2 linked regions of the Notamacropus eugenii genome follow. The protein of the gene in region 2 purifies or fractionates together with the protein of the main gene of each other region. This does not show direct contact. Links are inferred from orthologs where the notes say so. Each region holds a gene or a part of one and is shown on either strand. Other genes may lie near its edges.

Evidence for each region.
Region 1: the proteins of SPAST (region 2) and NUP43 purify together in Homo sapiens (affinity purification with mass spectrometry; 3 studies listed by BioGRID and IntAct, counting the BioPlex papers as one, with this or other methods). This does not show direct contact. The link is inferred for Notamacropus eugenii from reciprocal best matches to the Homo sapiens genes SPAST and NUP43.

What each region holds. Positions count from the first base shown.
Region 1 is NC_092873.1:241,798,421-241,813,716, reverse strand, and holds the start of NUP43 (nucleoporin Nup43), read left to right. Parts: upstream 1-9,072; 5' UTR 9,073-9,202; coding exon 9,203-9,322; intron 9,323-10,698; coding exon 10,699-10,821; intron 10,822-11,946; coding exon 11,947-12,024; intron 12,025-13,490; coding exon 13,491-13,671; intron 13,672-15,296. UniProt on the Homo sapiens protein: Component of the Nup107-160 subcomplex of the nuclear pore complex (NPC). The Nup107-160 subcomplex is required for the assembly of a functional NPC.
Region 2 is NC_092872.1:534,844,679-534,859,635, reverse strand, and holds the start of SPAST (spastin), read right to left. Parts: upstream 7,324-14,957; 5' UTR 7,139-7,323; coding exon 6,718-7,138; intron 1-6,717. UniProt on the Homo sapiens protein: ATP-dependent microtubule severing protein that specifically recognizes and cuts microtubules that are polyglutamylated.

The sequences.
Region 1 (15,296 bases), on a different chromosome or scaffold from region 2:
ATAGAAGTGAATGATAAAAACTAAAAATTAATTAATTTTTTAAAAGAATGTTTGACTTTTAAAATCACTGTTATATCCTTTTTACAAAAACATAAGTGTTTAATTGCGGCAAGTAAAGACAAAAAACCCTTTAAAAATATTTCTCCACCATCTCCACTGTATGTGTATGTACCTGTGAACATCAATTTTTTAAATTAAGCACAAACAAATATAATTCACAAACTAAAGCTAGTATTTATTTTAGAAATTATTAGCAACGTTTATTTATATTGTAGGACAAAAATATTTTTGGTTATGCATAAGTGACTAAATTTAGACAAAAGAGGTAAGATGATGACAATACTGCAGAATCTTTGCTACCAGATTATAGTACACTTCAATTGACAAGAAAAAGAAAGTAGTTGAATCATTTTTGCAATATAGATTCACTTCAAATAATGATGATGGTGTGGAAAAATCTCTTTGCTTAATTTACAATGAAGTTTTGGCGTGGAGAGCATAAAACCAGTCAAATAAAACGACATCTTAATACCAAGCATGTTGTAATAAATCAAAGGAATATTTTGAACAACTTTTAAAATCTTCAAATAAAGAAAAACAAGGTTTTGAAAAAGTTGTTATTGTCAATGAAAAGTATTTACTCGCAGCTTATGAAATTTCTTATTTAATTGCAAAAACTAAAGAGCCCTACACAGTAGGAAAAGATCTTCTGTTACCTGCTGCTATTAAATGTCAGAAATAGTTCAGGGGAAAAAGTATGAGGATGAAATTCATAAAATTCCTTTTTTGAATGATACCATTTCCAAAAGAGTTTCTGAAATTAGTCATGACCAATTCCAGCAGCTTATTACCAGGCTTAAGGGCAGCCCAAAGTTTGCAGTTCAGTTAGATGAAATAACTGATTTTTCTAACATAGAACAGTTGTTACTTTATGTAAGATATGTTCATGAAGGAAGCATACATGGGGAATTATTGTTTTTTTGCCTTCTGGAAGGGCACACAAAAGGGAAAGATAGGGCGGAGCCAAGATGGTGGAGTAAAAGCAACGACTTGCTAGAGCTCCCCCTACAACTCAGCCAAATACTTGTAAAAAAAAATGACTCTAAACAAATTCTGGAACTTCAGAACCCATAGAATGACCAAGTAAAGTAAATCTCCAGGCCAAGACAGCCTGGAAGGTCAACAGGAAGTGTCTTTTGTGCTGGACCAGGAGCAGAGCACAGTCCAGCATGGGCCCTGCTGGCACAGATAGGACCTGAGCAGGTGTGAGGGGGGAGTGGAACAGAATCTATGGCATCTGTGACAGTTTCCAGACTTCATGACCCCAAAACAATGAGGACAAATTGGAAGGTCAGTAAAAATCTGTGGGACATGTGTGAGAGAGTAGAGTGGTCCAGTCCCAGCCGCAGGGCAGCAGAGGGGGCTGAGGAGCTCAGGAGCAGCCACAGCAGCAGCAGGGGCAGCAGCAGTGACTGCTTCTGGAGCTCTAGGCCCACAAATTGTGGGAGGATGGAGTGGCCGACAGTATACCCCACACCCCCACTGGAAGTAGAGAACTACCTTGACAAAGACCTTACAAGTCAAGTAATTGGCTGGGGAAATGAACAAAAATAGGAAAAAAATCATATTATAGAATCTTATTTTGGTGACAAAGAATATCAAAACGTACAACCAGAAGGAGACAATAAAGTCAAAATTCCTACATCCAAAGCCTCCAAGAAAAATATGAATTTTCCTCAGGACATGGAAGAGCTCAAAAGAATTTTGAAAATCAAGTAAGAAAAGTACAGGAAAAAATGGGGAGAGAAATGAGAGTGAAAATCATAAAAACCAAGTCAACTGCTTGCTAAAGGGGACTCAAAAAATGCTGAAGAAAATAAAAATTAGACTAACCCAAATGGCAAAAGAGATCCAAAAAGCCAATGAGGAGAAGAATGCCTTAAAAAGCAGAATTGGCCAAATGGAAAAGGAGGTCCAAAAGCTCACTGAAAAAAATAATTCCTTGAAAATTAGAATAGAATAGATGAAAGGTAATGACTTTATGAAAATCAAGAAATTCTTAAATAAAACCAAAAGAATGAAAAAAAAGCATACAATGTGAAATATCTCATTGGAAAAACAACTGATCTGGAAAATAGATCCAGGAGAGAAAATTTAAAAACTATGGTTCTACCTGAAAGCAGTCATCAAAAAAAGAAACTAGACATCATCTTTCAAGAAATTATCAAGGAAAACTGCCCTGATATTCTAGAACCAGAGGGTAAAATGGATATGGAAAGGAGCCACTGATCATCTCCTGAAAGAGATCCCAAAAGGAAAACTCCTAGGAATATTGTAGCCAAATTCCAGAGCTCCCATATCAAGGAGAAAATATTGCAAGCAGCCAGAAAGAAACAATTCAAATATTGTGGAAACACAATCAGGATAACACAAGATTTAGCAGCTTCTACATTAAGGGATCAGAGGGCCTGGAGTATGATATTCCAGAGGTCAAAGGAGGTAGGATTAAAACCAAAAATCACCTACCCAGCAAAAGTGAGTATAATATGGATGTCCAGTTTTCCCAGCAGTTTTTGTCAAACAGTGAGTTCTTACCCCAGAAGCTGGGGTCCTTGGGTTTATCAAACAGTTGATTGCTATATTTATTGACTACTATGTCTTGAGTACCTAACCTATTCCACTGGTTTACCCCTCTATTAAGAAAAGGCTTTTTCAATGGAGGGGAAGAGGCAGAAGGTGAGAGGGAAAGAGTGAACTTTCTTACTGGATTTGGCTTAAAGAGGGAATAACATGCACACTCAATTTGGTATGAAAATCTATCTTACACTACAGGAAAGTAAGGGGAAGGGGACAAAAAGGGTTGGGGGGTATGATAGAAGGGAGGGAAAATAGGAGGAGGGGATATTTAGAAGTAAACATTTTTGAGGAGGGACAGGGTCAAAAGAAAGAACAGAATAAATAGAAGGCAGGATAGGATGGAGGGAAATATAGTTAGTCCTACACAGCATGACTATTATGGAAGTCTTTTGCATAACTACACATGTACAGCCTATATGGAATTGCTTGCCTTCTAGGTGGGGAAGGGTAGGGAGGGAGGAAGGAAGAGAAGTTGGAACTCAGAGTTTTTAAAATGAATGTTAAAAATTGCATGCGACTAGAAAATAAGACATACAGCAATAGGGTATAGAATCTACTTTGCCCTACAAGAAAATATAGGGGAAGGGGATAAAAGGAGGAATGCGATAGAATGGAGAACAGATTAGGGGGAAGGGGTAATTAGAATGCATGGTGTTTTGGGTGGGGGAGGGGAGAGATGAGGAGAAAATTTGGAACTCAAAATCTTGTGAAGTGAATGTTGAAAACTAAAAATTAATTCATTAAAAGGAGGGAAGATATATATATATGTACATATATAAAAATTGAGTTTTTCACAAGTGAAGGTTTATAGTGGAAAAATTGCATTGGAGTCTGTACAGATGGTGCTGGAGCAATAATGGGCAAGAATGTTGTATTTGTAGCAAAAGTTAAAGCTGATGGAAATGAACATATCCTTTTTACTTACTGTATCATCCACTGGAAGGCACTCATAGCCAAAGAAATATCACCAGAGTTAGATGCTGTGCTTTACAATGCTATCAAAATCATTAACTTCATTAAAAGCCATGACCTTAACAGTTGTTTTCAAACCTTTGGAAAGACATGGACTCTGATTGCAAAAGCTTATTACTACATGCGGAGGTAAGGTGGCTCTCAAGAGAGAGAAATTTAAACAGATTGTTGAAACTGAAAGATAAAGTTGTTATATCTTTGATTGAGCAGAAATCCAATTTTGTTAACTTTTTTCATAATGACTTATGGCTTTCAACACTGTGTTATTTATCAGATATTTTCAAAAAAACTCAATGATCAAATATGTCGCTTCAAGGAAAGAATTGTAACATATTTATGTTAAAAGATAAAATTGAAAGTTTTATTTAAAAAAATTAATATATGGAAGAATAGGGTAGAAAATGGTTTTTTACAAATGTTACAGCTACAGATGATTTTATAATTGAAAATAACCTTCCCAAAGATTTAATTGTAGGAGTTATAATTGATCATCTGAAGTGCCAGGAAACACAGTTTCAGAAATACTTATCTTCAAATTTCGATTCTAAAAAACTAAGTTGGGTTTATAAACCATATTCAATTGAAATCACAAACATCAATCATTAAAAGTTCAAGAATTTACTGAGTTATCAAATGATACAGGTTTAAAACTTGAGTTTCCTAAAAAAACTGCTAAATGAATTTTGTCTTGGGATTAGGACAGACTTTTCAACAATGTCTGAAATGTCCCTAAACATATTTCTGCCATTTTCTACTATGTATTTATGTGAAGTGGCATCTCCACATTGTCGATCATACAATCAAAATATCACTCAACTCTGGAAAATGTTGAAGATGCTCTATGTACTGCAGCATCAAATATTCCTCCAATATTTAATTCTTTATGTAAAAATCAACAAGCACATCCATTTCATTAGTATGAAAATTTGTTTTTATCTCTAATAAATGATAAAATTATATATGCCAAAGAATTGTTTTAAAATAAATTTCTTTATGATTTACTATCAGTAAATTTTGATTTGTATAACTATTTTATATACTGACATACCTAGGATCACATAAAAATTTCTCAGGCAAAAAGGGGTCACTAGCAGAAAAAGTTTAAGAAGCCCTGGGGTAGAGGACTGAGGGCAAGAAGCAGTATAAAATGTAACCAACCTGACTGTGAGAGAAAAGGGCCAAAGTCAACCATTTGTAATGTTGTCTATGACCTTATTTGAATGAGGAAAGTGACCAAGGAACTAGTATATGCTTGGAGGGAATATCCAATGCACTAAGGGCCTTCCTCTAGGTCTTTTTATGTATAGAATGAAGAAGTATTTTTTATTAAGCACTTCCTATGTGCCAAGCACTATGCTAAACACTGGGGATTCAAATGAATAAACAAAGCAGTCCCTGCTCTCAAGGATTTCACAATTTTCCCTAAATAGGGAAAGTAAATGAGTTTTCAGTTGTAGGGCAGATGGAAAGGTGCCAAGGTATTTAAGGTGTAGCAACAGGGCAGATGACAAAGCCTAGAAACCCATAAGGTGAATTGGCAGGTCAGACTGGCAATGCCTAGGGTAAGACTGATGGTAAGGCCCCATCTTAACTGAAAGGATGGTAGCAGGTAACTCCCTACTTATCCAAGCAGTGTGAGCTTTATATGTCCCCAACCAACAACTGGTGGGAAAGGGTAGAGTAGGCCTAAGGATTAAATAGACCTTTAATTACCTCAGGAAGGGTATGGGAATGGCAGTAGAGTTAATAGGGCACCACCATCCTTCCAGTCACCCAAGTTCTCAACTTTAGTATCATCCTTACTTTTACTGACGTCAAATTTACAATTAGTTGTCAGATCTAATTTCAATTATTACAACTTTTTTTCAGATATATCCTCTTCCTTTCAATCACACAGCTATCACTTTCATTCAGACTTTCATCATTTCTTAGCTGGATTATAGCAATAGTTTAGTTTCCTAGTTCAAAATCTGCTTCAAGTATTTCCCCTGTTAAATCCATAATCCATCCTCCACACAGCTGCCAAAAGTGATTTTCCTTAAAGCTCAAGTCTGACTATATCACCCTTCACCCCTGCCTCTATAAACTTTAGCAGTTCTTTATTCTCTCTAGGACCAAATATAACCTCCAAATATACCTGGAATTTAAAGTTTTTCACAATCTGGTCTTTTTCTACCTTTCTAGGCTTTTTATACATTATTCCCCTTGATGCATTTTATGATTTAGCCAATTGAGTTACTTGCTATTTTTTCATATCACAATTCATCTCTTTATCTCAGTGCCTTTGCAATGACTGTTCCCCAAACCAGGAAATACTTTTCCTTCTTACCTCTACTGCTTAGGATCCCTGGCTTCCTTCAAGATTAGTCTCAAACACCACTGAAATGGATTACAATTTATCTGTTCCTTCTTATCCTATGTTACTTATCCATGTCTCTACATAAATCTCCTATAGAGGATCTACCCAACACATCAGAAATAGGCCAAGAATTCTTAACCTGGGGTCCTTTCTGGAATCAAGCAATATACATAGTGGTTGTATGTTCTCTAAACATCTCAGTCAATTGTATGGCTTAAAAGATGAAGTCTCTGATAGAAAATCTTACAGGAACACTACTGAGGTCTTTCGATACTAAATCCATTGTTCCATCCAGTAACAGCTCAGTTGGGCTCTTTATTTCGGCTACAATAGCCCTGTCACTCACATTCTCATGGTGTGTTAAACAAAACTATAATTACTTTACATTCAGTACATGATTGCATTTGATAATTTAGATAAAAAGCTTTCATAGAGACATCAGAATTGGAACTACAGAGTTGTAAATACACTCAGACTATCTAATCCAACCTGTACCTGAAACAGAATCCCTTCTCATTTTCAACATACACTCAACCAGCTTTTGCTTGGAGACCTCCAGGGAGAGGGAATCTCCTAGAGGTAGCCCTTTCTACTTTTACATAGCTCTAATTGTTGGGAGAATTTTTCTTATATCAAATCTAAATTTGCCTGTCTTGCATCTTCTACCCATTACTGCAAGTCTGCCCTTCAGAGCCAAGGAGAACAAATTTAAACTCTCTCCCTCATGATGGCCCTTCAAATACTTGAAGACTGCTTATCATGGTCCCTCTGTCTTTTCCTCTCTAGGTTAACCCTCTCCACAGTTTTTTCACTTATTCTGGCTGCTTTCCTCTGGATACTCTCCATCTTATCAATGTCCACTCTAAAATGTGGCACCCAGAACTAAATACAATACTTCAAATGTAGTCTGACCAGCGTAGAGTACAGTGAGACTGTGTGTTTGTTCATTGCCAAAGAAGACCATGCCATCAGAGAAATGATGACGTGACTTGTACTTGACTTTGCTTTGAGTGAGGGAGAGCTGTGCAGGTCACCAGCCTTACTTCTTCTCCAGAGTCATCTGAATCCAGTGACCAGATATTCATCAGGATGACTGGAGATGACCCAGGATGAGGCAATTGGGGTTAAGTGACTTGCCCAAGGTCACACAGCTAGTGAGTGTCAAGTGTCTGAGGTGAGATTTGAACTCAGGTCCTCCTGACTCCTGCAGTGGTGCTCTATCTACTGCACCACTTATCTGTATTACTTTCCTAATTCTGGATCCCATGGCACAGTATGAAACTTGAGACTGCATCTGCTTTCTTGGCAGCCACATCATTATTGACTCTTACTGAGCCTGCAGAATACAAAACCTCCCATATCTCTTGCAGATGGACTGATGCCTAATTATACCCCTCCTGTCTTTTACTTGTGAAACTGATTTTTTTTTAAAAGATCAAGTGTTTTTACATTTATCGTATTAAATTCCATTTATTAGTTTTAATTCAGTGTTCTAAACTGTCAAGATCACTCTGATTGCTGACTATTGATCTTGTTAGCTATCTTTCTAACTTTCTGCCATCTGCAGATTATACAATAAACATGCCATCTACCTCTTTATCCAACTCAGTGATAAAAATGTTAAAAGGCATAGGACTAAGCACTTTCCAAGCTGACACTGAACTATCAATAACTCCTTTTTTGGTCCAACAATTAAACCAGTTCCTAATCCACTTACCTTATATAATTACCTCATCCTTCTACCTTGTCCGGAAGATTAGCATAAGAATCTTTGTTGTACCATTTTGCAGAAATCTAGATAAAGTATATTCACAGCGTTCCTCTGATCTAGCAATCTGTTTCATTAATGTAGACTGAATGATGAATCCAAACTGGCTTTTTGTGATCTCTGCTTTCTTTTCTATGTCAACTACCACATTTTTGGAACTGTTTCACAGGAGTTGAAGTCACTTAGGCAGCTAGGTGGTGAAATAAATGGATAGAGCGCTGTACCTGGAATGTTTAACTCCCCGCTCAGGGGCTTACTTACTAGCTGTGTCCCCCTGGGCAAGTCAATTAATCTTTGCCTGCCTCAGTTTCCTCAGCTGTAAAATGGAAAGAGTAATGGTGCCTACCTCCGAGGGTTGTTGTTAGGATGGAGATGATATCTGCCAAGTCTTTTGTAAACCTTAAAGCCCTACGCTAGGTATAAAGTCAAGGGTGCTACTTTCTTGGCAAAGATTCCATCCTTTTCCTTTCCTTTTTGTCCTCCAGTCCTGCAGTGCTTGTTTCTAGCCTGCAAAGGCTGTGGACTGCCTCAGCAGGCACCCCCCCAGTCTTTTCAGTGCCCTGATGTGGTTCCTCTGGTTGTGATGCCCTAAGGGAGTGAGGGCAGTTTAGTCTTGACATCTCCTCACTCAGCGTGGGACACAAGACTGGATCTCTTCTGCTCCTTACAGGATGCCTGGAAGGCAGTCTGACCGCGAAGCTTAGAGGAGCAGGCGGGGAGGGCCCTGAAGGCCTCCTACCGGAGCTGTGCTTCTCTGGCAGGTAACACAACGCCGCAGAAGGGTGAGTTCATGAAATGAACCGCGGGGGAGCTTTTCCTCCAGTTTTGTTTGTTTGTTTATTTATGCAGGTGAACAGCAAAGTCTCATAGCACGGAAAAAACAAAAAATTAGAAAGACGTCATTTGGGGATTTGCTTTAAGTGGGTATTTAGGAAACACCCAATCACTCCAGGATTTTAACAACGATCGTGTCCTAATTAAAATGTACGTGAAACGTTACAATGACAGCTTGGGGGAAGGGGAGGGGACGGGGAGGGGACGGGGAGCGCTTCCTTAGCTTCACAAAGTTGACGACAGGCAACGAGGAATCTGCTAGAAAGCTGAAGGGGAGAGCAGCGGAGAACCAACCGAAGGGCAGCCCCAGGACCTTCAGCTACACAGTCTTCCATCCCAAACCCTCAGGGCTTCCGGCATCCCACCCCCTCCCAGAAATCGAAAGCCTTTCGGAGCCTACCGAAGAAGTTTGTCTTTCCTCGCTCGCCGTCTCCCGGTGCTTTCTCTTAGCCAATCAGGATGCCGGGCAGGTGGTCAAAGCAGACCGGAAGAGGCGGGCCCAGGGTCTTTTCTCGGCCGCCGTCTCCCGGTGTCTTCTTCTAGCCAATCAGGATGCCGGGAAGGTGGGCAAAGCAGGCCGGAAGAGGCGGGCGCAGGGATTGCGCGCGCGGTAGAGTTGCGGCCTCTCAGTCATGGAGGAGATCTTTGCCAAGTTCGTGTCCCAGAAGATCAGCAAGACCCGGTGGCGGCCGGTGCCGCTCGGGAGTCTGCAGCCTGCCGAGACCTTCGCCACCGGCTCTTGGGACAACGAGGTATCCGCCTCTTCCTTGTCTCGTGGCTGCCAGGTTCCCGCAAATCGCGCGCTCCCCTTTCCCATCCTGCCGCATCTTCTTGGGCTTTCTTGGCCTTCTCCCCCACGCACGCGGAGCAACCCACGAGCTTCGCGCTCGTTCTGAAAGGACTCCCCCCGCCCCCCGACTCGGGTCATAGACGTCGGAGCCAGGAGGGATGTTAGGTACCATCCATTCCAATGCCGCCCTCTTTAACTGAGGCTCAGAGAGGTTAGGCTTCCTGCCCAGGTCACACAGTAGGAGGTTGAAACCCAGCTTCCCCGATTTAATTGCTTTTTTCCTATCTATAATATTTACTAGCAGTGTAATTAATGTAATAATATAAATCCCGAGGGGGTCATTTTTCCTCTCGGGAACTAGCCAGCTCCGCTGGCCCCTCAGGGTTCTTCCTCCAGATAACAGATTGTCTGAGTGTTACCAGGAGGATTCGGAGACCCAAATAATTCGGGCAAAGTCACGCAGGCAGAGAAGCATTAGAAGACACCTGTTACCCCTAGAAGTCAACACGCATTTATTAAGTACTCACTGTGTGCCAGATTTCTGTACTAAGTACTAGGAATATTTTTTCTTAAAGCTTCAGTCTCTTCCCTCTGAGATTTCTTACGATTTGTCTTGCTTTTAAAAAGTGGTCTGCCTACCATCATCCTCGTTAGAATGTTAGCTTCTTGTGGCCAAGGACTGAGGCTTTTTTTTTCTTTTTTAAACATCATTTCCCAATTGACTGGCTCCCCTTAGTTTCCAGTTTTTGGCTACCTTGGAAATACCGGCTATAAATATTTTTGTACGTAAGACTCATAGTGCTATCCCTGTGTAAAAAGGTATACACAATTTAATAACTCTTTGGGCATTAAATTATATTCTTGAATGGCTGGACCAGTTTATAGCTCCGTCAATGGAGTCTCAGTGTGTTTTAATAACTTTTTTATGCACTTAATCTGTTTCTTATAATTATTTTTCTGCATGCGTGATCTCAAATATAAATCTGGAAAAAGATGCTTAATGGTCTTCTTAAATGAATGATAACCCCCTTATAAATTCCAAAAATTTCATGCCTCCATGATAATAGTTGTCCTCTTAGTATCAGTGACTGAGACAATACATAATAAGCTAGTGGTGCCCATATATAATATTACTGGACCTGTTGAAATAGTTATTGGCCCCATTCCTCCTGTTTCTCCTAACATTCCTACAGACTGGAAACTACTTGAGTGGTTTAAACTGTTACCAAATAATTGATCATCCAAAAGTAAAACATGGAATATTTGAAGTGAACGAAGATTGTCATTTTATAAAATGGACTTAATCTGTCATAACATAAAAATGATACTAATTTACAGGAAAACAGTGTTTCACTCTGGTGTATTGGAGATTTTGGTAATTTGAGCACCGAAGGAGGGTTTGAAGGAGATCATCAGTTATTATGTGACATCAAACATCATGGTGATGTAATGGACTTGCAGGTAACCTAGACATTTTAAGACTTAAAATACTATAGAATATTATTTCTCTAAATATATATTCATATGGCCCAGAGTTAATCTATTGTTCACTCTTCTGAGATTGAGAATAGCTTAAGAAAGCCCAAATTTATATAAATATCCATTTATCATAATTAATATTTTTGTCTGTGCAGTAACTTTTTAAAGTGCTTTCGTTACTTTGCTCTTACTGATAAGGAAAGGCAATGTGTAATAGTTTTGAACTGGAATGAGCAACAGAAGACTTTGGGTTGTCATACCATATAAGATTTTAGCCTCTATAAGCCTTATTCTCCTCTTAAAGTAGTACTTGCCATGCCTACTTTACAGAGTGCTAAGGAAAGCGTTTTATAAACTGTAAAGTACCATGTGGGAAGCGTGAAGGCTCTGTGGATGGAGAGCTGGCTTTAAAGTTGGAAAGACCAGTTTCAAATCTTGTCTCCAAGACAGTGAATTACAAACTAGCAGCAGCTCTGTGTTGCTGATTTGCATGTGTAAAAATTTCCATGCTGAGTTTCCTTCACTGATGACATAGGTTCAGATTTATCCCCCTCTCCTCCCCTCCAAAAACCACTTTAAATAATGAATTATTTATAATTTTGTTAATTTCTTTGAGCTTCAATTTGTTTGTTTTTCAATCATTTAGTCCTGTCTTACTCTTTGTGACCTCATGGACCATACTGTCCATGGGGTTTTCTTGGCAAAGATGCTGAAGTAGTCTGCCATTTTCTTTTCTAGTGGATTAAGGCAAACAGAACTTTAGTGACTTGCCCATGGTCACACTGGTAGTGTTTGAGGATGGATTTCAATTCAGGTCTTCCTTACTCCAAGCCCAGTGCTCTATCCACCGAGCCACATAGCTAGCTACCTAAACTTCAGTTTACCTCTCTATAAATTGGAAATAACATCAGCCTGACCTTTCTCACTGATTTGTGAGAATAAAATGAAATAATATATTTGAAAGTCCATCATAAAAAGTAAAGTGTTATACAAATTATTATTATCTTTTATGTTTAAAATTGTGGTTATGTTTATCATTAAGTAAAATTGTACAATTGTTTACTAATATTTTGAATCTGTAACGAGCAGGATTTTTCTACTGCTTAGTTTTTGGACCAGGAAAGAATTGTAGCTGCTTCATCAACAGGAAGTGTAACAATTTTTCTTCACCATCCAAATAATCAGGTAAATAGCATTTTATACAAAAATTGAATTTTTAAAATTATTCTTAATGTTTATAGGTTAATATGTAAATCCTTCCTTACTGAATAATAAATTATGCTTTGTAATCCTAAAACCTAAAGGGCAAAAAAATTATAAAGTATTCATATTAGTGTAGACTTTTCTCAAAACCTAATATTCTTTGGGCATGGTGGTATATGCCTATGATTCCCACTATCAGGAAAGCTAAGACTGGAAGATTTCTTGAGCTTTAGAGTTCTGAAGTGCATTGGGCTAACCTGATTGGGCATCCAAACCAAATATGGCATTAAATAAATGGGCTACCAAATTGCCCAAAGAAACAAAAGAAATTAAAATTCCCATGCTAACAAAAGTGGTATTGGGCCCATTGTAGTTCCAGCCTGGTTGAGATAGGTAGACCCAGTCTTTTTATTTTTTAAGATAATATTCTTTACCATTAAGTAGTGAAAATTCTATTAATTTAAACTGAATAACCTATCATTTTAGAGTAACTGTAGTCATGTTACTTTGCCTTTATAGTTGTGTCACTTTTTTTCAAAGACAAAAAGAACACTTATTGTCTTACTTGCCATAAGGGATGGAAAGATCTCTTTGGTTCTACTAATGATGCCTAGATTTTTCTTTAAGGGGTAGATGTTGAGACAGTGGCAAACCTTCATAAAAAATGCCCCTTTTTTAAAAAATCTAACCCAAGTTTGTTGACTGACCTTCAGAAAATAATAAAGGACGCTTTGATGAGAAAAACTTATAGTAGCATAGGGTCTTATATAGCTTATGGCTAGAAAAGAAAACCTGTTGAGATTTTTCTTCTTCCCATGCAGGTCATCTTAGTGATTTAATAAAGTCAAGAATGAAACATTTAAAAAATCTAAACTATGACTTTTATTTTCTTAATGACATTGTTGACAGGAAATCATAATTTCTGACAACCTGATTGTCTAAGAAAATTACTTATTTTTGAACGCAGTAATCCTGGATACCTAATAATTACTTTTGAAAGACAAGTGAAGTAAATGAAAGTGTTACATACAATAATTTAAAGCATCTTGGAAGTCCTACTTGCTTGGGAGCTTTTTAGCCGCCTTAATGACAAGAGATATTCCAAGATGAAAAATAAGCTGTTTATCATTAAAAACTTTCCTTTAGAAATTAATCCAATGGATAGAGGTTTGAAAAGTGTTTCCTAGTCACAAAAATTATATTTTCTGTGAAATATCAAGGACAGAGAGAGGTTTTTCTGTGGAGCTGAGAGGAGAAATAGAAACAGAAAAAAAAAAGCATTTTGTGTCTTTGATTACTTTAGGTAATTATTCTAATTTCCTTCAAACCTGGAAGTACTATATCATGGGAAGAAAAATTGCTACAGTTGCTATTTGATAACCTTTGATTTTTTGATATCACCAAATGACTTTAAGGTGTTTTTCTTCACCCTCTCTTATTCCTCACAGACTCTTTCAATCAGCCAGGAATGGGTAGGAGCCCACTACCACATTGGCCCAGGTAGTCCTTCCTATAGGAGTGCACCATGTACTGGTATTGTATGTAACAGTCCAGAGATTGTTACTGTTGGAGAAGATGGCAGAATCAATCTCTTCAGAGTTGATTACAGGGAAGCTGTACGGACTATAGGTAAGAAGACTGATTTGTTCATTTTTTTTGACCAATAAGTATTGGCCACTCATGCTTATGAACCATTGTACCACTCTGCTATGAGAACTACAAAGATATACAAGAAAATCTCTGTCTTTGAAAGACTCAGTTTAGTATGGGAGTTAAAACGTGTAAATAAATATCTACACTAGAAGGTAATATACAGATGATACATACTAAATGAGATGCAAAGGAAGGAAAAAGTGTTTCTGTTTGAGATGATCTAGAAAGACATCGTGAAGAACATTGCTTTGAGCTGGAATTTGAAAAGTGGGTGGATGATGGTGAATGGAAGAGTTTACAGGCAGTGAGAGTAGCTTGAACCAAAGAAATGGAAGTCAGCAAGCACAGTATGTGTTTGGGACATAGTAGCTCAGAATTTGGAGGTGTAGCTTGAAGTAAAACTCGAAGTTAGTTTGAGGCTAGATGTGAATACCAGGCCAAGATTGAATTAGCTAGAGAAAGCTACAGAGTGATGCTTTAGGCAGATTCATTTGGCCAGAATGTTTCAAATTAATTTGAAGGGAAAGAATTGGGGAAAAACAAGAATTTATTGCAGGAGTCCAGAAATGAGATGACTGCCTGAACTATGGTTCAGAAGTACTGAAAGACCAGGAAGAGCTTTGAACCTGGTTGAATTGTCATGATATCAACAGAGATAGAGAAGAAGTAAGGACTGAGCAATGTGCTGCAGTGAGAAAGACCCTTTGATTTGGAGACAAAAGATCTCATTCAGATTCTGGCTCTGTTGCTTGCATGTGTGACCTTGGACAAACCATTTCACTTTTCTTATCCATAGGGAGCAGGTTAAACTCAGTGGTCTTGAAGGTTCCTTCCAGCACTGAATCTGTAATCTTATGATCCTACAAGCTAGTTTGAGAGGATTTGGGGATTATGTGGGTTGTTTTAGATATGTTATATTTGAGATGACAGGTGAGACAGGTGGAGATGGACATTGCAATTGGACCCTGGGAAATCTAAGGACTTAGAGCTACATTTTTGGAGCTGCAGTTATCCCTTCTGCATCATGGGTGTAAGGGTTAAGATGCTCTCTCAATCCAGAAAATCTACATAAAAATTTTTGGCCCTCCCTTCATAACAAAGAAGTCTGAATTTTTTTCTTTTATGGGGTGTTTACAGGACCTTATTGTAAAATGTGAGTTGATGTTATATAATACACATATTTTATGCATTTCTGAGTTTCTAAACTTTTTCTGTTTGTCATCTGGCCTTTGTGTGTCTTCTGCAACTTCTGCATAACTCCCCCAAAATTCCCATTTAATTTCTTATGCTGCCTGGCCCTTGATATATTGAAGCTGATGGGGAAAGTTCGTGATAATTAAAGCTAGTGAAAGTGAACGACATGTCAGATGAGAGCATGTAAAAGAGTATGCAGTGTTGCAATCTATAATACTTTATATTTAAGACTAAATATTCTTTATAAAAGGAGAATTCTCAGCTCAGATTTTAAAATAATTTAATATAATTTATATAACAATTTAAATTTTCTGTTTTTTCTTAATTGTACTACTGATATTCCCTGAGATAAACTTTGCAATTGTCCGGTCTTATCTGTAAATAAAAACCGGAACTGGCTCTATAGG
Region 2 (14,957 bases):
TCCAAAAGACTCATGATGGAAAATGCTATTCACATCCAGAGAAAGAACTATGGAGTCTGAATGCAGATGAAAGCATACTCTTTGCTCCTCTTCTCTTGTTCTGTTTCTTCTTTCTTGTGGTTCCTCTGATTAGTTCTAATTTCTCTTTATATCATGACCAATGTGAAAATATGTTTAATATGAATGTATGTAGAGCCTATATCAGACTGCACACTGTCTTGGGGAGAGGGTGGGGCAGACAATTTAAAATTCAAAATCTTATGCAAGTGAATGCTGAAAACTAAAAATAAATTAATTATATATAAAAAAAGTTGCTCTTAGAATCTCTATTTTGAGGAAAGGTTGAGGCCAGTCATCCTTTATTCCTCTCCTAGCTCTGTGTGACTCTTTGATTACTTTTTCACCTTGCCCTCTCTCCCACCTCTACTTTCAGCTCCCTTTAGAATGTAAGCTCTTTAGAGTAGAAACTGTCTTTTTGCTTATACAGTCAATTCTACTATAACCTGTGTTACCAAAACGAGAAATGTGTTCCAATGTAATTGATATTTTAGGAAATATTTTGAGCATGACAAGGATTTCAAGTTTGCTTCTACATGATTTCTTCCACTAGAAACAACAAAAATGCAGAAAACAGCACCACTTCACAATAATTCAAAAGCTGCAACCCTTCCAATGCCTACTTCCACAAGTGAAGTTTAGGTCTTTGTCAAGATAAAGTACAATCACATAGTATATATGTTCTTGTGCAGTAGCAGCTCTGAGTGGAGAAGGTCTGGCACATACCTTTCTACCATGGCCTTGGGCCCAAGGCCTGTAATTGCAGTGGTGACTACTCAATTTGCTTGCACAGCCTAGAGCAGCAGCCTCAAGTCATGGACACAGACATTATTTACTGTAGTATGGATTTCTTAATTTTAAAAATTAGGTTTCTATCTTTTTTTTTTTTAATGTATCACCAATGAAGTTTTTGAGCACTGTGCCTCTAACCCCATTTCCCCTATAGCTCTGTGAGATTTTTTTTACATGTTAAGGTGCTTTTGGAAAACTCCTAGATTGCAATGCAGCAGGATTGCCTGCATATCTATCCCCAGCACTGAGCACAGTACCTCACAAAAAATAAATGCTTAATAAATGCTTGTTGCCTTCATAGATTTTCAAGCTCTCAAACAAGGTACTATTCAAAGAAGGGCAAAGATCACCCGCCAAAAAAGTGGCCAAAAATATTAGTAACAACTACTCCATTTGTCTACTTTTTCTTCCTTATAAAACCTTTATGAAAATGATCCTCAAACATATTAAGGGAATTAACAAAAATTTAAGAAGGAAACAAGGAGGTATTAGTAGATGCTTCCTTACAGCAGACTACATCTTCTCAGTCACGCAATTGAATGGGAAGTATATAAAATATGAGTCTGTGTTTTCAATTGGTTGATTATAAAATAGGCTTAATGAAATAAAACAGGCTTAAAGATTCACCTCCAAAAAGGTATTTTCCACATAAGACAGTACAAGGTTCCTGGAACTATACAACCACAGAATTAACTTGTGTTCATCAATATTCTGATTATCTATTCAGCAAAGAATTAAAGAGGGACATTATGGCTCTGGAGGAGAAGTGAAGCTGGTGACCTTGCACAGACCTCCCTCACTCAAAACAAAGTGCAAGTCATGTCATCATTTCTCTGATGGCATGGTCTTCTTCAGCAAGAAAGGACAAACACAACCCTGTGAATAGACTCAGCTCCTTGTCTCCTGTCTGTCTCCCCCTCCCCTCATCTCCTCTCCAAAGGAAGGTAAATTTGAACGGCCAAAAGATGCCCAGGTGACTTGGGTTTTACTGGCTAGTCTCCCTTTCTCTCCCTTCCCTTCCCTTCCTTGAGCCTATTGTACTCTGAAGCTCAGACAACATGAGGCCCCAGCCCCCTGCCCAAAAGCTCTCTTCTGGACCCTCCTGGCTTCAGAGTGATTATCAATAGTAACTGTTGCTGTTTGCCTCCCAGCCTGAAGTCTTTCTTTTCCTTGCCTCATTAAAGGAGCCATGCCCTGACTACTTCTTAAAGAGGCCTATTCAATGAAGGGGCATTACCTCACCCAGGCAGCTAGGTGGTGCAGTGAATAGAGCACCAGTGCAGGAGTCAGGAAGACCTCAGTTCAAACCTCACCTCAGACACTTGACACTCACTAGGTATGTGACCTTGGGCAAGTCACTTAACCCCAATTGCCTCATCCTGGGTCATCTCCAGTCATCCTGATGAATATGTGGTCACTGGATTCAGATGGCTCTGGAGGAGAAGTGAGGCAGGTGACCTGCACAGCCCTCCCTCACTCAAAACAAAGTCAAGCGCAAGTCATGTCATTATTTCTCTGATGGCATGGTCTTCTTCAGCAATGAAGAAGAACACACACAGCTAATTATCTCTCCCTAAATGAGCATCTGACCAAGGTCTCCCACTGCATCCTGGGTCATCTCCAGTCATTCTGAGGAATATCAGGTCATTGGATTCAGATGGCTCTGTAGGAGCCAACACAACACAAGGACGAACACCACAAAAGAGGGACATATACTCATCAAAAAAATTTACTACACTTATGGAAAGATCCTGCAAGAAATTCTCTATAGACGAGGAGGTTACCCAGGTACTTCTCTTTGCAGATAATATTGTACTTGACTGCAGAAAACCCTGGAAGGCCAGATGGAACAAGAGAATCACTACCAGTAAAGAAATACTGGTTTAATAATCTACCCAGAAAAAAAAGTCTTCTGGACTCCAAATACAGCATTCTTTTTACTACATCCCACAACTAATCGATGGAATATAACAATTTCATTAGAATACTGTAAGTAATCCAAAGAGTGACGGTAAGAGATGTGATTAGTCACTAGTAAAACTATTCAGGGTAAGATTAAGTGAGAAAGCAAGGGAATAAGCATTTATATAAAAGTCTACAAAATGCTTGGAGTTATGCTAAGCACTTTTTTACAAATGTTTTCTCATTTTATCCTCACAATAACCCCACAAGATATGTGCTATTATTGCCCGATTTTACAGCTAAACTAAGGGAAAGAGAGGTTAGGTGACATATCCAGGGTCACACAGCTTGAAAGTGTGAAGCTGTATCTGAACTCAAGTCTTTCTGATTCCAAGACCAGTACTCTATCCACTGTGCCACTAGTTGCCTGTAAGTGTAGAGAGAAAACAAGCTTGGATATAATTACATTATCATGTACTACCAATCAAAAAAAAGAGAAAGAAATATAAGATAAGGAAAAAAACGGATCAGTTACATAGCAAGACAATGATTTAGAAAGTCATTCATTTTCATTCACTTATTTTTTTTAAAGAATTCTGATAGGACTTTAAAAAAGTATTATGGTATTTCATGAATTAAAATTAATTTTAAGATACTAAAAGCCCTAGGAAAGACCTTAACATTTGGGCAGAAATCCTTTACGCAAAAGAATCATACAAGATGAGATGTACAAAGAAGTTTCATTTAATACCACAGGGGGAGGGTGGGGAAGGGTGGTGGAGTATTCACACCAGTGAGATAATAATGAAGTATAAGTTATTCATTATTTTTATTTAGACATCGTGCTACAGTGAGAAGAGGAATGGGTTTGGGAATCAAAAGGCCAAGATTAAATACTAGGTCCAACACTTAACCAGCTGCATGACTGTGGGTAAACCACTTCACCTAACACTATTTCCTCATCTATAATATTTAAGATAGTACTACTTGGATTAGTTACACTTCAAAGAGCTATTGTGAGAAAGTACTTCACCATGAAATCCTATGCAAAGGTGAGCTATTAGTATAACTAGATTCTTTTTTCACTTGGTCCCGAATCAATTTCAGCGTTAAATAATGCTACTTGGCATTCCTTTCCTGTCTTCTTCCCTTTCCCTCCCAAATTACAGTAGTTGACAAACTCCTGTTTCCAAGTCCTTATTCTCAGAGAAGAAACATTTATTTTTAGACACCTTGTGGCTTAGAGTAACTCTTTGTAAGTGATAGATGCCTCATTACAATAGAGCAGTGTCTGTCAGTGTGATATAATGGAAAGAGGCCTGAACCAAGTCAGGAGATCAGGGTTCAAGTCCTGACTCCTCTCCTCCCTTTCTTAAAGTCAACTGCCCCTCTCCTGGGGCAGGTTGCTTCACTTGTTTGCACTTCACTTCAGGTTTCATATCTGTAAAAGGGGAATAATGCTTACTTCACAGAGCTATGAAAAAAGTGACAGACTATTGTGGGTTTTTTTTCTTTTTTAAGATTCCTCCTTTGCTATCCCAAGATATAATAAAAGTATAGAGAAATTGGAATATCCAACTCTTTGGTGATAGAAGCTTCTTCTCCCAGATCTGACTGTCACTCTTGTGCTCCCTCTACCCATAGATTACCTGATCCTAATTACTTCTAGGATTAAATACAAAGTTCTCTCTTTGACAATTAAAGCCTTTCACCAGGAGGCTCGAAGTGATTTTCAACTTTAGTATGCAGTTGTTGTGTTTGTCCTTTCCTTCTCAAAGAGGACCATGACATCAGGGAGATGATGACATGACTTGCAGTTGACTTTAAGAGAGGGAGGGCTGTGCAAGGTCACCAGCTTCACTTTCTCCTCCAGAGCCACCAGGGTCCAATGGCCAGATATTCATTAGGATGACACAACATGACCCAGGATGCAATAGGAGACCTTGGCCCTTTCAGACAAAAGTCTTTTCAGGTTCTCACTTTGAATGAGATAATACCCATTCAGTGAATTAGGTCTCTTTAGGCAGATATACAGGGATCACCTCTTGAATAAAAAAAAAAATCAAACTGGGAGGGGAAGACCTTCCAGATTCCTGGCCAAAACAGAAACAGCTACTACTTAGTATTTACTCACACTCAGTGCTAGGAAGGGTGAGGACCTATAATCCAATCTATCTTTGAGAAAGAAATCTAGGCAGTAAACCCAAAGGGAAAAAGCCAGCTTTTGGGCATCAAAATGTACCCTGCCCTGGGCAGAGCACGCCAGGTAGGAAGGGGAAAAGGAAGGCAGGGGAGAAGAGGGAAGCTGCTACTCATTCACAGGTTGATTATAAAATAAGCTTAATGGAATAAAATCGGCTTGAAGATTCACCTCCAAAAAAGTGTTCTCCACTAAGATATTACAAGATTCTTTAAACTATACAACCACAAAACTAACTTGTGTTCATCAATATTCTGATTATCTATATTTAGCAAAGAATTAAAAAGGGATATATATATATATATATATATACACTCATCAAAGAAGTTCATTACTCTTATGGAAAGAGATACTGTATTACTCCCCTCAAGTACAGCAGAAATGCCACTAACGTGGCTGCCACAGTAGTTCCTCACATAAGACATCCCATCTCCTTTCTCTCCCCCTTTCTTTTCACATGCTGTCATCCCCTATGCATCCGTTAGCCTCACCTCTGAGGGCCCTTGTTTCATTCAAAACCCAGTTCAACAGCTAGACCCATCAAATTTTCCCTGCTCTCCCCACCTGTGAGCTGTTTATCTCCCCAAAGTTAACTTATATTGTTTTATATTTACATATCATATCCCAATTTAAGGTAAGTTCTTTGAAAGCCAAGACTCTTCTTGGGTCTCCAGCAACTTGCACAATACCACAATACAGGGCAAGTGCTTAAAAAATGCTTTTTGATTGACTAATTGCGAATCACAGTGTTTTTGGTCTTCACATTTCCCCCCACTCCCCTTTGAAAAGTGAACAGTAACGCAGTGACAGAAAGTCGCTGAGAAAAACTGTAGTCTACTCTTTGCTTAGTAATCTAGAAAGCAAGTAAAATTGGGGGTGAAATGGGCAAACAAAACACAATGAAAACCATTATAAGAGATCCTGTAATTTCAAAAACAATTTCTATTGTTTCTAATTAAAACTTACCTTTTACATTAAGGTGATCCCTGTTAGGTTTTGGTTTAGGCTTTTTCCTAAATATTTACTCAACATTCATTTTTTAAAAATTACGCGTGACTGATGCTCTCTCTCCTTCTAGTCCTTCTCCGTTGGGAAGGCAAACAGTAAGCTATCAGTTCGTTTAGGCTTTTCCCACAATTTACATACTAGTATATGCAAGCCATTCAAATATTTCCCAAGTTTCCTTGGGGAGAGTTAGGTAAAATGAAGTAAATAAAGTCGGGAGTAAAAGTTACGCTACGAAAATCGACAAATGTACCCGTATACAAGTGTCAAAAGTCGCACCTGTCATTTTACAGTTGCTCTTTTAAAGGCCGGGAAACTTAGCTTTTGTTAAGCGAATACGAATGCAATAATAAAAACCCGATTTCCGTCGTAGGACCCCCGTTCCATTTTCTTCTTCCCTATATCTACTCTTATTTAAAACTAGACACAATCACCCCATCACCCATCGTGGTCGACAAGCTCCTTTTCAGGCAGCAGACTCTTTCGGAAACCCGGCCGGGCCTGGAGGCCAGTAAAGGTCGGCCCGGCCAGACGCCGCCTCGGCGTGGTCACCGCAGGGCAGACGGCGCGGCCATCGCTCCGGGCCGGCAGAAGCTGTCAGGCGGGGGGGGGGGGGGGGGGGGGGGCGGCGCGGCTGGTGACAGGGGCGCTCTCAGGTTCCCCAGGGGCCCCCGGATGCTTAAGGAGGCGGCAGAGTGCGCCCCACGGAGCAGCCACGGAGAGTGGGCTGGGGAACCCCCCTCCCACCTCCCCTCCGTTACCTTTCTCGTCCTCGTCTATGCGCAGGGCGAAGGAGATGTACTCGAAGGCCTGCTTGTGGAAGGCGCGGACCCGCTCGGCCTCCCCGCCTGCCGGCACGGGCGGAGGAGCCGGGGCCGAGGCCGCCGCCGCCCCCGGCCCGGTGGCCACCGTGGCCGCCGCCCGGGTGCTCCTCTTGGCGGCCATGAGGGCGCGGGAGAAGCGCTGGCAGAGCCACACGAAGAGGAGCCCCAGGTGGAAGGCGACGAAGCGGAGCAGCGCGAAGGTGGCCAGCAGCGGGTACGAGAAGTAGCACAGGTTCCGCTTATGCGGGGACGGGCCGGCGGCCGCGGGAGGGGCGGGGCCCGCGCAGGGGGGCGGGGGCCCAGCGGGCGCGGCGCTGCTGGAGCCTTTCTTCTTCCCTCTGCCGCCCGGAGAATTCATTCACGGCCCCCGCTGCCGCCGCCGCCATAACCCGCTGCCGGCGACCGAGCGGCGGCGGTGCTGGTGCCGGCGGCAGGAGGAAGAGGAGAAGGGAAGGACAGCAAGGACGGCTAGAGGGAGAGCGAGTCCTCCGAGCTCGCGCTACCCCTACGCCCCGCCCCGCCCCTTGCCTAGGTCAGGAGCGTCACCTCCCTTTCTCAGGGCCCCTCCCCAGCCGGTCTAGGTGTCGGGACTCGGGCCCTGTCCCGCCCCGCCCTCTCGGCCACAGTCTCGGGCTGTAGGGCGGTCACGCGCACGTCCTGTCCCCTCTCTTTCCGTTCATAGGCTCCGCTGTGAGGCGGGCACGCGCACGTTCCTCACGTTCTCAGGCTGCGTTGCGCACGGGCGCTTCGGTCTTTGTTGACAGAAGCCCCAGCGGTGCGCGTGTGCAGCCCTTCAGCCCCGCCCACCCTTCCAGGCTCCGCCTTCTAGAAACTTGAAACTCCCAGCTTGCCTTGCAGCCTTTTGGAGCCGGCCTGAATTCGAAATTATCTTAGCTTCTTGATGGGTTTTGTTTACTAACTGAGAGCTAACGTTTGTGAGCGCTTTAAAATTTGTAAAGTATCTGATTTGAGCCTCATCACATCCTTACTATTGTCTTCATTTTGGCAATAAAGAGGTTTAAACAGTGAGTTGTCTAGGGTCAGTCAAGCAGCTGCCATTTATGAAGTACCCACTGTGTGCCAAGCACTGGGCTAAGCACTAGGGGTACAAAGAAATCCTAAAACAAATGACCCTTCCTGTCAGGAGGCTTACAGTGTAAGGGGAGACAGCACGCCAAACCTGTATAAACCGGGCAAATGGAGGATGTTGGAGGGTGTCGGAGGGAAGGTATCAAGATAAAGGAGGACTGGGAAAGACTTCCCGCCTAAGGGGCACTTTGGTTCTTGAAGGAAAAGAAGCCAGGGAAACTGGGAGACCCAAGAGAAGGATGAAAGTTCCCAGGAGTGGGATGGACTACTGTTTAAAGTTGAAAGATGTCAGGATTTTACATTTGGTCCCAGAGGTGCTAGGAGGCCGCTGGGCATTTCCTGAATAGCTGGGTGATGTAGTTAGAAATCTGCTTTAGGAAAATTGCTTTCACAGCTGAGCGCAGGATTGACTAGAGTGGAGGGCGACTTGAGGCAGGGAGCCAACAGCAGACTATTGTCTAGGGGTAAGGGGATGAGGGCCTGCAGGAGAGTCGAAGGAGAGAAGGGCTTAAATGAGAGGCGTCACCTCCTGTAATCAACAGGACTTGGCAACAGATTGGATAGGGGTGGGGGTGGGGGACAGAGTTAAGAGAGAGCCAGCCAGGTAAAGGACAGAGGACTGGAACTGAAATCAGAAAGGCATGAGTTTTGATTCTGCCTCAAACCGTTAACAGCTTTTCCCTTAAATCCTGCCTTCTTCCTAATTTTCCTATTGCTATTGAGGATACCACTGTCTTCCCAGTCACTCAGATGTCATCATCTACCCCTTTTCTCTCTCATCCCTCATATTCAGTCAGTTGCCAAGTCCTCTCATTTCAACCTTTATAATATCTCTCATTTGTATATAATTGGTAGCTTCTCTCTCCAATTAGACTGTGAGCTCTTTGAGAGCAGAGACTGTCTTTTGATTTCTTTGTATTCCCCCACCACTTAACAAAGTGTCTGGAACACAGTACTTGTTTAATAAAAATTTACTAACAAAATTACTCTGGAATGTTATCATGGGAAGAGTCTTTTGGCATGATCTAGTCCAGGGGTGGGGAACCTGCAGCCTCAAGGACACATGTGGCTTTCTAGATCCTTTGGTGCAGCCTTTTGACTGAGTCCAAGTTTTACAGAACAAATCCTTGTGTTAAGGGAATTTGTTCTGTGAAGTTTAGATTCAGTGAAAGGATAGCACTTTGAGGGTCACGTGTGGCTTAGAAGTTGCAGGCTCCCCACCTTTGATGGTCAAAAGCTTTCCTTTTATAGGTGAAGTAAACAGAAGTACAAAGGAACTAATTAATTAGATTAATTATGAAAATAAGGTCTTTTAAAAAATAAACATGCCATGGTGAAATCCTGTATGATGTGAACCCTAGATGATGTGAACCCCAATGTAGTGGGAAATCTCAGATCTTAGGATAGTAAATTTAGAGTTGGAAGGAAATTTTTAAATCATTCATTTTATCAGTAGGGAAACTTAGGCCCAGAAACATGAAAGTACTTGACCCTACTTCACCTCTGAAGTTTTTATATGGTTTAGACTTTACTGCAAATCATTAAATTTCATTTAACTTTGCCACACCACAACTGCCCGCGAATGTAAAAAGACCTCTTAGACTTCATTATTTTCCCCATGCTGCTTGCTATATGGCTACAAATCACAGAAGAGCAGAGTCCCAAAGGAAGCATATTGCCATAGATTACTTGTAAAGGTCTTGTTCACTCACTAAGTGGGGAAGGAGCACCTTCCCCTTTAGCCCTGTGGCCCTAAGAAATTGGCTTGAAATTCTGGTCCGTTTCAATTATCTTTTTCAGTTTTGGGTACAGGCGGCAGAATTCTGGACCCAGAAGCTCAAGCCATGGTAACCTTAGAACCAGATTACCAGGCCAGATGTTACTGTCAGTCCAATAAGGAAGCCCTAAGAAGCCGGGGGCTTTGGGCTTAGAATTTGGCACAATTAATACAGGGATGTGATAGTAAATGTTTAACAACCAGCTTGGGGCAGGGGGGGAAGAAGGGGATTGGAGAAGAATGTAGCCATAATATACTTTTAAATTTAATCTGCATTATTTACATTTTGTCCATCACTACTATTAGTAGTGCATTGAACAGTGAGTGTTTCAAAGCAATGACAGCCCATACATAGTTGCTATCACAACTACTCAATTCTGTCATTTTGCCATAGACAGTAAGTAACTTGGACACTGAAATTTGAATTTTATAAAAAATTTTCATGTGCCATGAAATATTATTTTTCCTTTGATTTTGTTTCAGTGATTTAAAAATGCAAAAACCTAGGCTATACAAAAACAGGTGGCACAATGAGGGATGGGCAAACAACAAATGGGCCATTTAAAGTCTGACACCCTTAATTTCACCTAGTGTATTAGGGGATTCAATTAGACGTGTCTCCTGATCAACCATCCTATCACACAAGGGTCTCTGGTTTTGGTTTCTAATCTTTTAATAAATCTTTCCACTTTGCAATTGTGAATATTGTGGGGTTTTTTTGCAAGTGAGTTTGTGTCAGCTGAGACCCTCACGTTCCTCTCTACTGGATATGACTTCTCTACATGGCTATTTTCACTATCACCTTTCAACTTCTATCTTCACTGAAATCTTGACCTAGGGTAGTGGCATGCCTTTTTCTGCAAAGAGATAGTATACTTACCCTGGCATCAGCAAGTGTCTTCATTAATCAACTGCCTCAGTTTCAGATGAGGCCTGCCATCTCCTATGCAGCAGTATCACACTCTTGCCAACTCAGCCGTGCTTTGCAGCTGGACTTCCCAGGTTGCATACAAGCAGTTCTGCTATAAAAGGACATATTAATTCCCCAAAAGCACCTCTGTTCTGTACAAAATTATCCAATAAATACTACAGAGCTTATAAAAAAATGGAGTTAATAACGCAATGTTCAAAAACTTCATCATGACATATAAAAAAATAGGAACCTAATAAATGGCAGGACAGTTTTATACATTTTAAATAGTTAAAAAATACATAAATATTGCAGTAAATTATAACTGCACCTGCAACATTGGTGCCTGCTCCAGTCTGCATAAACAAGCTAAGCAGGTATAGTATAAAGAAGACTTTTGTCCTTATAGTTCAGTTTCCCGGGATCCATGGCCATAACAATCTCAGTTTCCCAGGCTAATGCTAAATTGTAAATATCTGAAGGATAGATCATGGATGCCTTACTTCTTTGAACTCTGGTCCAGTTCACAGCTGTAACACGTCTGGTGCTGGGTGACATAGACTTTGGTGTCTTCTGGCTCTGAGCCTATCAGTATATATTCTGGAAAATTGATTTCTTGCCTTGGGGCTTGCTCATGGGAAGCATGCTTTGCCTGAGACCTTTTTGATTTCCAAAATAGGGCTCTGGGTAACTGTTATCAAAGGGCCGCTCAGCTGACCAAAACTCAGATGTTGGGGCTCTCTCGGTTTGGTGATATATTTTCTCCACTTTCAGGGTGATGACCTTTCCCCTGAACAAATGTTAGTTGAAAGAGGAAATAATCTCATAGAGGGAGGAGGGGAGAGGAGACCTCTCATAGGGGGAACCTTTAGGGTTGAATGCTGTGTGTGCCTTGACCTACCCCCATCAAGGCTTGAGAGAGAAGAGACCTCTGCTAGAGAGAGTGAAGGGGGAACCTTTAGGGTTGAATGCACAGGCTGGAATGCTTTGTGTGCCTTCACTTGCTTGCATCAAGGCTTGAGGGGATTTAGGGCAGTGCACAAGTTGTGCCTGTCTCAACTGACCCCATCAAAATGTAGGGGGAGTTGCCTCCCCTTCTCTCCAGTCTCTGTGAGAAGGGTGATTAGGGAGTACTATAGGAGTTAGTGGTCCCATTGCCAGCAACACTTGTGGGAACACTGGAACACTGGACTAGAATAAAGTAAGATTATTAACCCCTTTGAAGGTGTCTGCCTGTCTGACCAAATCAAGAGTGAACCTGTGCTAGCAGCCCTGAAGTATGCTATATTTATTGGGGATACAGAAGATCCCCACTGAAATTCCCAGCCTTGGGGCTTTGGAGTTATGGAAAAAGTGGATGGGAGTGGTGAAGAACTACTCATCTCCTCTCACAGTTTTTACTGAACCAGAAAATATATGACAAATATAGCCCTTTACCTTGAGAAAGATCTAAAGTTTGCTTGTGGAAATGGGTATTGGAAGATTTGTAGCTTCTGGGTTATCATAAAATGGTGCATAGTTTTCTGCATTCTCACTGTTTCCAGTAGAAGAAATTTCCCTGAAGCAATCTCAAAATTTCAAAACAGGCATTACACTTTTAAGTGTTCAGAAACACATGATAAACCTGAATGTGTCTTCTATGTGTCTGTCCTTTTGCTGAAAGACACCAATGTTGATGATGAGGAGGAGAGAGAAGGTCTTGTTCCTTTACTCCTTTTGACTCCTTTTTTTGAGTTTTCTCCACTACTCAGATGCTAGTAGTAACAGTTTCTCTAATTTTGATTGCTGTTTATCTCATGAGTGGACAGAGAAAAGGCAAGCCCAGCAACAAGTATATTATATCTGAAACTCTCCAGTGAGTTAGTTTCTTGACCCTTTTAGACACTTTTAGCCAATAGACTACTCAGTATGAAAGAGGCTTACCAATAATGCCCCCCTTTCCTTGTTTTCTGTCCCTTATGTTGCTGTTGCTGCTGTTGAGTGGTTCAGTCATGTCCATGGTCCCATGCACCAGCACACCAGGCCAGGCCTTTCTATCTTCCAGTACTTCTTGAGATCTGTCCAAGTGCGTATTCTTTGTTTCCATGACACTATCTATCCCTCTCATCCTCTGCCTTCCCCTTTTCCTTTTGCCTTTCCCAATATCACTTTCCTAGTGAGTCTCACCTTCTCATTAAGTGGTCAAAATATTTAAGCTTCAGTTTCAGTATTTCATCTTCCAGTGAATAGTCTGAATTAATTTCTTTAAGTATGGCTGATTTGATCTCCTTCCTGTCCAAGGAACTTTCAAAATTCTTTCTCCAGCACCACCATTTGAAAGTGTCAATTCTGAGATGCTTAGCTTTCTTTATAGTCAAGTCCCACAGCCATGCATTGCTACTGGAAAAACCATTGCTTTGACTCTATGGACCTTTGTCAGCAATGAGATATCTCTGCTTTTAGGTAAGCTGTCCATATTTGCCTTAGAATTCCTTTCAAGGAACAATTAATTTCATGGCTGCATTCACCATCTTCTGTGATCTTTGAACCCAAGAATGTAAAATCTGACACTGCTTCCATTCCTTTTCCTTCTGTTTGCCAGGAAGTGATGGAACTGTTTACCAAGATCTTCAGGGGTTTTTTACGTTAAGCTGCAAGCCACCTTTTACACTCTCCTCTTTTATTAAGAAGCTTCTTAATTCTTCACTTTTTGCCATCAAAGTGGTATGATCTGCATATTTGAGATTGTTGGTATTTCTCCCAACAACCTTAATTCTGCCTTTTGATTCGTCCAGCCTGCCATTTTGAATGATGTACTCTGCATATAAGTTAAATAAATGAGGTGACAGTATACAGCCTTGTTGTATTCCTTTTCCAATCTTAAAACAATCAGTTGTTGTATATTTGGTTCTAAATGTTGTTTCTTGACCTGCATACAGGTTCTTCAGGAGACAATTATAAAGATCTGATACTTCCATCTCTTTGAAGATTTGCCATGTTTTGTTGTGATCCACACAGAAGAAGTAGATTTTTTTTCCTCTGGGACTTCCTTTCTCCAGAATCCAGCAAATGTTGGCAATTTTGTCTCTAGTTCCTCTGCCTCTTCAAAAACCAGCCTGCTTTTCTGGTAATTTTCTGTTCACATATTGCTAAAGCCTAGCTTGCAGAATCTTAAAAAACATAACCTTACTGATGTGAAATAAATGAAATTGTTCAGTAATTTAAACATTCTTTGGTATTGGCCCTTCTTTAGGATTGAGATGTAAACTGATCTTTTCCAATTCAGTGACAACTGTTGTTTTCCAAATTTGCTGACATATTGAGTGCAACACTTTGACAGTATCATCTTTTTGGGATTTTGAATAGCCCAGCTGGATTTTCAGCACTTCCACTAGCATTCTTAGCAATGCTTCCTAAGGACCATGGGACTTCATTCTCCAGGATGTCTGACTCTAGATCAGTAACCACACTATTGTGGTTATCAATGATGTTAAGGTCTTTCTTGTATAGTTCTATGTATTCTTGTCACCTCTTCTTAATTTGTTCTATTTCTGTTAAGTCCCCGCTATTTTTCTCTTTTTCATGTCCATTTTTGTATGAAACATTCTTTTGATATCTCTAATGTCTTGAAGAGAGCTCTTGTTTTTCCCATTCTTTTATTTTCTTCTATTTCTTTAAATTGCTCTTTTAAAAAAACCTTCTTATCTCTCCTTGTTATTCTCTGGAATTCTGCATTCAGTTGTTTTATATCTTTTTTCTTTTACTTTTTGCCTTCCTTCTTTCTCTAACTATTTGTAAAGCCTCATCAGACAACCATTGTGCTTTCTTGCTCTTTGTTTTCTTTCAGATGTTTTTTGTTGCTGCTTCCTGTACAATATTCTAAAACTCTGTCTATAGTTTTTCAGACACTCTATCTACCAGATCTAATCCCTTAAATCTATTTATCACTTCCACTTCATATTCATAAGGGATATTATTAAGTCTCACCTTATATGGTGTGATGGTTTTCTCTATTTTCTTCAATTTAAACCTGAATTTTGCAATAAGAAGCTCCAGTCAGCTTTAGGTCTTATTTTAACTGACTCTGTAGAAGTTCTCCCGCTTTGGCTGCAAAGTATATAATCAGTCTGATTTCTAAATTGACCATCTAATGATGTCCATGTATAGAGTCGTCCCTTATGTTCTTTAAAAAAAATGTTTGCTACAACCAACAAATTATCTTGGTGAAATTCCATTAGTCTCTACCCTGCTTCATTTTGTAATCCAAAGCCAAACTTACCTGTTATTCTAATTATCTTTTGGTTCCCTACTTTAACATTCTAATCCCCTATAATGAATAGGACATCTTGTTTTGTTGTTATTTCTAGAAGATGGTGTAAGTCTTCATAGAACTGATCAACTTTGGCCTCCTCAGCATCAACG